2 linked regions of the Arabidopsis thaliana genome follow. The protein of the gene in region 1 interacts with the protein of each later gene in a pairwise test. Each region holds a gene or a part of one and is shown on either strand. Other genes may lie near its edges.

Evidence for each region.
Region 2: the proteins of LOG2 (region 1) and AT1G70280 interact in a protein complementation assay, tested with the Arabidopsis thaliana proteins (one large-scale study listed by BioGRID).

Annotation. Positions count from the first base shown.
Region 1 is NC_003074.8:2,995,445-2,999,843, reverse strand, and holds LOG2 (RING/U-box superfamily protein), read left to right. Parts: upstream 1-1,588; 5' UTR 1,589-2,008; coding exon 2,009-2,511; intron 2,512-2,692; coding exon 2,693-3,200; coding exon of another isoform or gene 3,201-3,215; exon of another isoform or gene 3,216-3,286; coding exon 3,287-3,442; 3' UTR 3,443-3,665; downstream 3,666-4,399. Other genes in the region: AT3G09760 (RING/U-box superfamily protein), read left to right, coding at 4,393-4,399. UniProt on the Arabidopsis thaliana protein: Acts as an E3 ubiquitin-protein ligase, or as part of E3 complex, which accepts ubiquitin from specific E2 ubiquitin-conjugating enzymes and then transfers it to substrates (in vitro).
Region 2 is NC_003070.9:26,465,258-26,471,043, reverse strand, and holds AT1G70280 (NHL domain-containing protein), read left to right. Parts: upstream 1-2,239; 5' UTR 2,240-2,572; coding exon 2,573-2,660; intron 2,661-2,741; coding exon 2,742-2,822; exon of another isoform or gene 2,823-2,910; coding exon 2,911-3,087; intron 3,088-3,533; coding exon 3,534-3,704; intron 3,705-3,791; coding exon 3,792-4,004; intron 4,005-4,085; coding exon 4,086-4,174; intron 4,175-4,247; coding exon 4,248-4,958; 3' UTR 4,959-5,240; downstream 5,241-5,786.

The sequences.
Region 1 (4,399 bases):
GCTACGTTCGACGTCATATTTGTTATCCTGTAAATTATAACAAAGATGCATCAACATTCAACAGAGAACAAAGTTTAGTTTTTATATATATATATATGTCACGATCATAGGTCTACATAACTATAAATTGATACAATTGATTTTACAGATTTTACACAACATATGTATCCAACTTGATGATATATCCGGTCTGCCGTTTCCCACTATATATAGAGTATTTTATAATTGATTCCCATTTATTTTTCTTAGTTTATATATGTTCGTCTTTTGGAATTGCTTAATGAAAGTGTGTGCGAGTGGTTAGGTATGCGATTCTATTATGTCTCTTTATTTATTTTTGATTTCGAATCGCACCACTACCTTCGTATGGGAATGTTTCAATATGATATCTATCTGTATATGATCACGAATATAATTTGATTTTGATCAAAATCAACATGTAATATAATTTCACGTAATATCAAACATCCAATAGTTACAGTTTAATCTGGCTACTGAATATATATATATATATATATATATATCTTCCTTTGAAAGAATGTTTATATATTTTTATTCTTTGTGACGTTTTTTTTAGCTAATGGTGATCTCTTGACTCTAAATTCATACAAATTTTTTAAAAAATTAGCTTAGGGTTTTGAAAATATAAAAACTCTTTTAGGGCTTATGTTTTCTTTTTGGTCAACGGAGCTTATGCTTTTGTAGAAACACTAATTTTTAAGACATTAAAGTATACATCAGTTTTGTTTTGTGTTTTGGGTTAAACTTATACACAATTATTCAAAGACGACAAAACAAGTTTAAATATGAATTCCAAAATACCAGTTCATCTTTTCGGACTACTGTATATAAGAATATTATGTTGGCAAAAAGTAGGTTTATTATAGGTTAAAAATAAAAATAAAGTATAGCCTACTTTGTTAGGAATACATATTAAACTTCACACTAATTACTAGTAGATATTTAGGCAATATAAGTCTAGAAGCGGAAAGTAGACAATGCCTATTGCCTAGTATACATTTCGGACAGCACAAGTGACTTTTAACTCTTTAATCACACAGAAGACAGAACTATGCAATGATCGACAACTTCTTCACTCTGTAAAATATTTGGATTTCTCAATTAATGGTTTCTGAAAATAACATCATCTTTTTAAAGCATGAACAAATTAATCCTAATGTAGACCTAAATAAAAATCTTAAGACCATCTTTATCAGTAAAAACAAGGAAAGATTCTAAAAAAAAATAAAAATAATATTTTAATTAAAACAGATACATTAATTATTATTTAATAATTGAATTAATAGTATGATGACACTTGTCCAAATTGGATGAGAATAGTTTCTCAAAGTTTCTCGGAAGAGAAATTCAACTCTCCTTCTCTTCTACTTTTTTTTCCTTCTATCATACTTTTTCTTCTTTAATTATTTTTTTTTTTTATTGGGTATCTTATTGAGATACTTCAAATGGAGATGCTCTAATAATTAATGGGAATGTGTTTCTAATTAAAAAGATAACATCTTTCTTTCTATATTTTTGTCGTCATATAACACACCTCAACTCTTTTAAGTACTCGTGTTGAATTTTGTTTTTTGAAAAGACAAAACTCCTTATAATCAACGTAATTATTAATAACAAGGAGAAAAAAAGTCCAAAGAAAAAAAAAAGAAAGCTTTTTGGGAACATAAACACCATCGAAGGAGGGTGGGAGGTGTTTTATGTTCATGGGTGGAGCTTCTTGGCCAACCTGACCCCATTCATCATATCATTACCCACTTTCTTCTCCTAAATTATTCTCTCTTATCTCTCTCTCTCTCTTTTTATTTTCTTTCTTTCTTAATTCATCTAAACTCTCTCTGCTTTTGCTTTTCGTAATTCCTTACATTTCACTCAATATTAATCCCCAGAATCTCCGATCCACCCACAAATTTAGCAATTTTCTGAGATTTGATCATTTGGGTCACCAAAAAATCTTGTCTTTTTGATCTGGGTTTAACGCCAATAACATATGGGAAACATTAGCAGCAGCGGTGGTGAAGGTAGACGCCGTCGACGGCGAAACCATACGGCGGCTCCACCACCACCTCCTCCTCCTCCTTCTTCTTCTCTTCCTCCACCACCTCTACCTACAGAAATCCAAGCTAATCCCATCGTTTTCGCTGCCGTTACTCCCTATCCTAATCCTAATCCTAATCCGGTTTACCAGTACCCTGCTTCTTACTACCACCATCCTCCCCCGGGAGCCATGCCTCTTCCGCCGTACGACCACCACCTCCAACATCATCCACCGCATCCTTACCACAACCACTCTTGGGCTCCCGTGGCGATGGCCAGATACCCTTATGCTGGTCACATGATGGCTCAACCGACTCCTTACGTTGAACACCAGAAAGCCGTCACGATTCGTAACGACGTTAATCTCAAGAAGGAGTCTCTTAGGCTTGAACCCGACCCGGATAATCCGGGTCGCTTTCTCGTCTCCTTTACGTTTGATGCAACCGTCTCCGGAAGGTAGATTTCACTTTCTCCCTTTCGTTGATTTCGTGATCCATTTGAGCAGATAACACGTGAATTTTGTTGTGTTCTTCCTCGTGACTATGTAATTTGGATCTTCTTATTGCAATTTGATCAAATCTTCTTCATGTGTAATTGAATTAAGCTTATGTTATTATGTTGGACTTGTGAAAAATAGGATTAGTGTCATTTTCTTTGCTAAAGAATCCGAAGATTGCAAACTCACAGCGACAAAGGAAGATATACTGCCACCTATCACTCTAGATTTCGAGAAAGGACTTGGTCAGAAGTTTAAACAATCATCTGGTTCTGGTATAGACTTTTCGGTCTTTGAGGACGTTGAGCTGTTCAAAGCGGCCGCAGACACAGAGATCTATCCATTAGCGGTTAAGGCAGAAGCAGCTCCCTCAGGTGGTGAGAATGAAGAAGAAGAAAGGTCGGGGTCGAAGAATGCGCAGATTACTCAAGCGGTTTATGAGAAGGATAAAGGAGAGATTAAGATTAGAGTGGTGAAGCAGATACTATGGGTTAATGGAACGAGATATGAGTTGCAGGAGATTTATGGGATTGGGAATACAGTTGAGGGGGATGATGATTCAGCTGATGATGCTAATGATCCTGGTAAAGAATGTGTTATATGTTTGTCTGAACCACGAGACACCACTGTTCTTCCATGTCGACATATGGTAAGTGAAAGCTGATGATTTACTACTATTATGTGATGATGGACATATATATAGATGTTAAAAATTGTTTGGGTTTGGTGGTGCAGTGTATGTGTAGCGGATGTGCTAAGGTATTGAGGTTTCAGACAAATCGATGCCCCATTTGCAGGCAACCTGTTGAAAGGCTTTTGGAGATAAAAGTTCACGGTAACAACGGAAGCGGGAATAACACCGGACAGGGAGAAACAGTTGAACAAGAGTAGCTAAACACGGCCGAGTATGGATTGAAATGCCATCGAAATATTAGTAGTATATGCATGTTTGATCCTTGTATGTTAACAACAAAATGTGTGATTGTCAATTCATAATATAGAGATTACGAAATCATTTGGAGTCATAATGACACAATACTTGAAACATTCTTCATTAGATACAACAACAAAGTAGGCAGTTTCTTACTTAGCTAGTTGCTCAACCGGAAGTTGCAGTGGCAGGTGAAGCCATTTTAGTTGCAATAAGACAGAAACTTAAACATGGAAAACACGAGATATAGTAGCGGCAACATGACATTCAATTATATAGCTGACCCCTTCGTTTCTTATTTAAAAGGGGCAATCTCCAACGTTTTGTGGTCAAATGGGCCTGCATTTCTTTTTATCCGCCTCTACTATTGGGCCCTAAGCCCGAGTTTTCCGGTTTCGTAAACAATAGGTTCATCATACTTGTGTAATTTCAATGTTTTGGAAAATTCGGTTCACAGCTTCGTTAAAACATCAATCATCTCATATCTGTGACTCGTAGTTTGGTTAAAAAATGATCCCAAAAAAGAGAGAGACAGATCCAAAAAATCATCTCATATCTGTGTCTCTCTCTTTGTTTAAATTTAAAATGCTTGCCGTAGACAAAACATACAAATACGAGGCTGTAATAAACAAGTATTTAATATAATAATAAGGACAAATAAACGGACCAAATTTAGGCCGAGAAAATGGGACATTGTGATATAATCTCAAAAAGAATTGAAATTTGTATGATCGATCAGATATCTCAATTTCAGGAACCCAGAAAGAGGGACTTGTCTTTTACCTCCAAAGGGTTCCTGCCGTTTCTTTTCTACAATTTTTCTCCTGCTAATTATCAAATTTTTCTTCTGATTTTCATTGTTTGTTAGAGATTCTTCTTCTCCTCTGCTTTTCTATTCTCTGGGAGCTCGATGATGG
Region 2 (5,786 bases), on another chromosome or scaffold:
AGAGGTTCATGTTGTTGTCGTCGAGGGACCAACTAAAGAAAGTAATTGGTGTTTGTAATTTTATGTCATGTCCATTTATTTCCCCAACGATCTTCTTCTTTATCATCCGACGGTAGTGGCTATCACGAAATTTATCCCACTGCCTTCGCTTTTTTAATCGTTTTGTACTCTTTTTACATATTAAAGTTTTGTAGTATTTGCCAACTCAATGGATTGGTAAGCTTTATTCTAATTATAGCTCAACTTGTCTATTTCCAGCCCATGAGGTTCAATCGTCACCAAACTATCAACTCTCACATTCCCAAAAATTATGTTGGAACCTTTTTTTTTCTTTTTTCTTTTTTTTTTTTCTCTTAAGAGTTTAAGCTATATACCAAGAAAATGATTAACTAAAATAATTTTTCTGTTTTTTGTAATTATTTTTTATTTATTTTGAATTTTAAAAAATCAGTATATTATTTTCCCTTTGATACTTTTTTAAAAAGTCCTATGAAAAACAAAAAGAGTTATCTCTTGATGAATCTTCTTTTCTCCAGTTAAAGTGTTTTATCAATTAAAGGGGACCATTTTTCACCTTCTTCTTTCCCATTGCTCCTTTTCTTTTGTTGTTTGGCTTTTACATTTTTCCATTTATTCTAAAAAACTTATTTCTTTTTCCCAACATATCACTATTTAATTTATGTTTTTTTCACTTTGCACTGTTTCCAATTTTTAGCAGAATCAGCATCCGAAGTTGCGAGGACCTAATTAGTCTCAAAAGTTTCATCTCATTTTTTCTGTTTTGTATGGGTTTATTACGCTGATTAGATAGGGAAAAATGGTATGCTTCAGAAGACAACTAGATGTGCACCGTTGTGCTCACATGAAAAGACAATAAATATCTCTTTCACGTTTTTTCGGCTAGCAAATCAACAAGAAAATGGTGGTCAAGTGGAAATATATTATATCTATATATATATATATTATATATATTAATGAATAAAAGCAGTGTCGAAAGTCTTGTAAATCAGCTAGTAAAAGGCTGATTGTCGCTGAAAAAAATGTTTGAGACATTGTTTTTTGTATGATCAAATGTTTGTAACAAAGTTCTTTTAGTAATAAGATTCAGTTGGGGGAAAATAGCATATGGAGTCTTAATTAGTATTGAGACTTTAAATATGAGAGAAGAGGTAAAAAAACAAACAACAAGAAGTGAATATACAATAAAAAATCAAAAGAGGTAAAAACAGAAGAAGAAGAAGAAGTGAATTTTACAAATAAAAATAGATAAGGCAGCGCGAAACAAGGATTTTGGTGGGAGAATATATGCACTGTTTGACTCTAGTCTTAACTCGTACCATATGTGATTACTACTTTACCCCTCTTATATTCATTTATCGTAACAAAAAGATCGAGTAAAATAGACAGACACGTTACCTTCGTACACGTGACGTACTCTAAATGGATCTTACATTGACACGTGTGTTTCCTCTATTGGATGTTTTGTTTGCTTGAACTAGTGGCCATTCAAAGAAAGCCACAGCACAATCATAAAATTAATAAAACTCTTTCTTTTTTGATAATATACACCATTTTTTTTTTTTCGTGTGCTAAAACCTAAACTTATTTCCAAAGTCTGTTTACCATTTTAATACAACCAGAATGATTCCATAACTAAAATCGCATTTAATACAACTTTCGTATATAATATGGTTATTGGTTTGAAGACTAATTAACATTTCAGTGTGTGATTTACTCAGTATTACAAAATTGTATGAACTCAACAAAAATATTTGTTATAAACACTTTAGCAAACCAACAAATCATCAGTGTTTTTTACATAGAACAAAATGATCAGTATAGTTTAAAAGTTCTTTACATTATTTTATAGGATTATAGATTTGACTATATATAAAGACATGTATGACTTATGTTCTTCACATATTATCAAAACCATCAAAGATGAATAAAAGCTCAATACCAAAAACTTTCATACTAGAAAAGTTACAATCTTTACCAAAAATCTAGTATATGATATAAACATTTGTACTTATTCTGTGGTTGTAGAATATATTCCATCACATAAATTTTAAAAGCTGATCTTATACATAAACTAAGACTAAAGTTGTTTAATCACCAGGTCCAGAGAATATAGTTCCAGCTTTATTCTACTAAACTCAAAAAGTTTAATTTTGATATTCCTAAAATTAAATTAATCAACCAACCCATACAAAAAATTTCATTCTAAAACTATAGATTAAAAAAAAGTAACGACGTTGATCGCATCACATGACTCTCTCTCTCACTCTTTTTATTCTGTCTCCTTCTAAATAAAAACTTTCCCCTTCCTCTTTTCTCACTGAGACACTGTCTTCACTCTTTTTTGCTTATCAACAAACTCTGCACAAATCTTAACCTCTCTGTTTCTTCTCTTTAATTCTCTCTTTCATCGAAAGAAACCTCAAATTTCAAATCTTCGCATTGTCCGCCATTCTTATACTTCCCCTAGAGAAGCTTCTTAGGGTTCTTAGTTTCTTCCTCTGCCGCGTCTTCTCAAGTTTAAAACTTGTCTCTTCTTCTTCAAATCCAATCAATGGGTAGAGATTTTCTAGTTCTAAGTATTCTCATTCTACTTCTCTCTGGGATTGTATCTTCAGCTCCTTCAGCTAATTCTCCTGCAAGTAAGCGTAATCACATTTTTTTAACTCTCTCTTCTCTTCGATTCTTTGTTTAATTGTTTTCAAATCTTACTCCTTTTGCAGAGATTCTTAATGGGTTTATCTCAAATCATGGCTCTTCACTAATGAAATGGTTATGGTCACTCAAAACCACAACCAAAACAAGTTCGAATCCTCTTCCATTTTCTGATCATAAAGTTTGCTTTTTAATCTTTTTCTAACGAATAAAGGTTTCTCTTTTTTTATGAATCAGCTATTGCAACGAGATCGATGGTGAAATTCGAAAATGGGTATAGTGTAGAGACTGTGTTTGATGGAAGTAAACTTGGTATTGAACCGTATTCTATTGAAGTCTTACCAAACGGAGAGTTACTTATTCTTGATTCTGAGAACAGTAACATCTACAAGATCTCATCTTCTCTTTCATTATGTAAGTACAAATTTTGTGGTTTATTGATTCTTGAAGAGATTGTGATGATGTTGAGACCACGATTGTGCTTTTGTCATCACTTCAAACTGAATGCACATGGGGACTATAGTACAAAAAGATGCTGCATATGGAAAAATTGATGGAATTTTTTGGTACTTCAAATTGAAAATTCTAAAGTCTGAGCTTTATTACTATTTTATGGAGATTTTGCTGTATCTTTGTCGTTTCTGGAGTGAGTTTGTCGGGGATGATATCAGTATACGGGTATAGTTTAGTAGTACATTTGTTTGCTGAATCTGACTTTTTCAAAGATGAGATCTAAAACAAAAGTGTTTGTTTCAAATGGTTCAGAATAGAAACAAAAGCTTATATTGGTTTGCAAAAGTGTTTCTTTCTACTATTTGGTTGAGTTTTATTTATATGGAAAGTATTGGAAACACTTGCAGATAGCAGGCCAAGACTGGTTACTGGCTCCCCTGAAGGATATCCAGGTCATGTTGACGGGAGATTACGTGATGCGAAGCTGAACCATCCTAAGGGGCTTACGGTTGATGACAGAGGAAATATATATGTGGCTGATACTGTGAATAATGCTATCCGGAAGATAAGTGAAGGAGGTAATAGCTTGTTCATAACTGCATTCATAGAAGGGTTATATATACGTTTGCATCTTGTACTGAGTTTTAAATGCCTATGATGTGAAGGAGTTACAACTATTGCCGGGGGCAAAACGGTTCGAAATGGAGGGCATGTGGATGGACCAAGTGAAGATGCAAAGTTTTCAAATGATTTTGATGTTGTTTATGTTGGAAGTAGTTGTTCTCTGCTTGTTATTGACCGTGGAAACAAAGCTATCAGAGAGATTCAACTCCATTTCGATGACTGTGCTTATCAGTATGGAAGCGGGTTTCCTCTTGGTAAACTTACAAAAGTACCAAACTTTTTTTTATGTTTGTCTCTTTTTTTCTTTGAATAACTCTGAATTCAATGTATTGCAGGGATTGCTGTTCTTGTTGCTGCAGGTTTCTTTGGTTATATGCTAGCTCTGTTGCAACGAAGAGTCGGCTCTATCGTGTCTTCTCATAATGTAAGTGCTCGTCTCAAAGACTACCCTGGCTTATTATTATTCTGCTAAAACTATTCAAATATTTCTTACACAGGATCAAGAAATGTTCGAAGCTGATCCTGATCAAAAGCCTATGAAACATTCCAGACCATCTCTGATTCCGGCTGGAGACGAGCAGCTAGAGAAACAAGAGGAAACATTTGTGGTATCGCTGGGAAAACTCGTTTCAAATGCTTGGGAGTCAGTTATGGAGATCCTTAGAAAAAAGCAGACAGGCACCAGCTTTCAGCAGTACCATGGGACAACAAAGCAGTCTGCTGCATTTAGCACATCAACTCCATGGCCAATTCAAGAGAGCTTTGTGATTCGAGACGAAGACGGACCTCCTCCTGTTGAGCCCAGGAACCCAACTCCAAGAAAGACTTATGCTTTTATGTCCAAAGATGCAGAGAAAATGCAGCAGCTACGTCAGAGCCGCGCATTCTACAGTAGCTGGGACGCTGAGTTCCCCAACCAGCAGCAACAGCAGCAAAAGCAGCACCAGAAGCATCAGCATCAGCAACAACAGCAGCAGCAGCATCGAAGGCATTACTCATCGATCCCGCATACTTATTATGAGCAGGACAGTGAAAAGTCTAATGAGATAGTCTTTGGAGCGGTCCAAGAACAGAGCAGCAAGCGTGTGGCTAAGCCTAAGCCGAAGCCTATAGAGTCTGGAGATCAAATGAATAATAATACTCAACAGAATCTTCACTACAGATCTCATTCTGTTAGTTACCCATATGGATACTATCCTAATACATGAAAAGTCTCCGGTTTTGTGCGTTTCTGAGATTATCAGTCTTCCTTAATAAGATTATGCAGGGAATTAAATTTTTTGGGTATAGGTGTTTGTATTGGGGAATTTTAAGAGTATGCTCTCGTCTTATGAGAAATGTCTCATACTTTGATTGTATTGGGTAATATATATATGAAAAAATGATATGATTATCTTTGTGAAAAAAGTGATTATGTACATTCCCTTGAGCTTGTTACAGCATTGTTAAATAAGTGTCCAACATAAGGTTTCTCATTTACTAGATTCATACTTACAACATCTTCGAAGTTTATAAAGTTCATTAGATTTATCTTGAGAGTTTCATCGAAGGCTTTGTGTCGGTGGAACAAGGCGCAAAGAACGATAAGATGAATACAACCATGGCTGACCCTATCATTTTAAGAGAAGCTATATATGTGGTATTAAAAGGAGGTTGGTTCAAGAGTGTAGCAAATGAGATTGGTTTCTCCCAAAACATTTGGAAAATCTCTGTGATTTTCATATATTACTTTTTTCAAGAATTTAGTTCAGGAGAAAACAAAGCAGATTTGATGTCATGTTACATTTTATTCAGAGATATGCATGATAAGTGATGGATTTATTTGGGTGGTTAAGATTACATACATGGTATCTTCACAAAAGTTTTGAACGTGATCAAATTTTTTATTTTTGTGTGTGACGAAAAAGAGAGTGTAAGACTCCGCGTGAAACAGAGGGTTACTCTGACGGAAGCTTAAATCAAAGACACATGAGAGGCACGTGATAGTTCGGTTTTATTTTCTTTTCTTTTCATTGTATATTTCTTCTTCCATACTT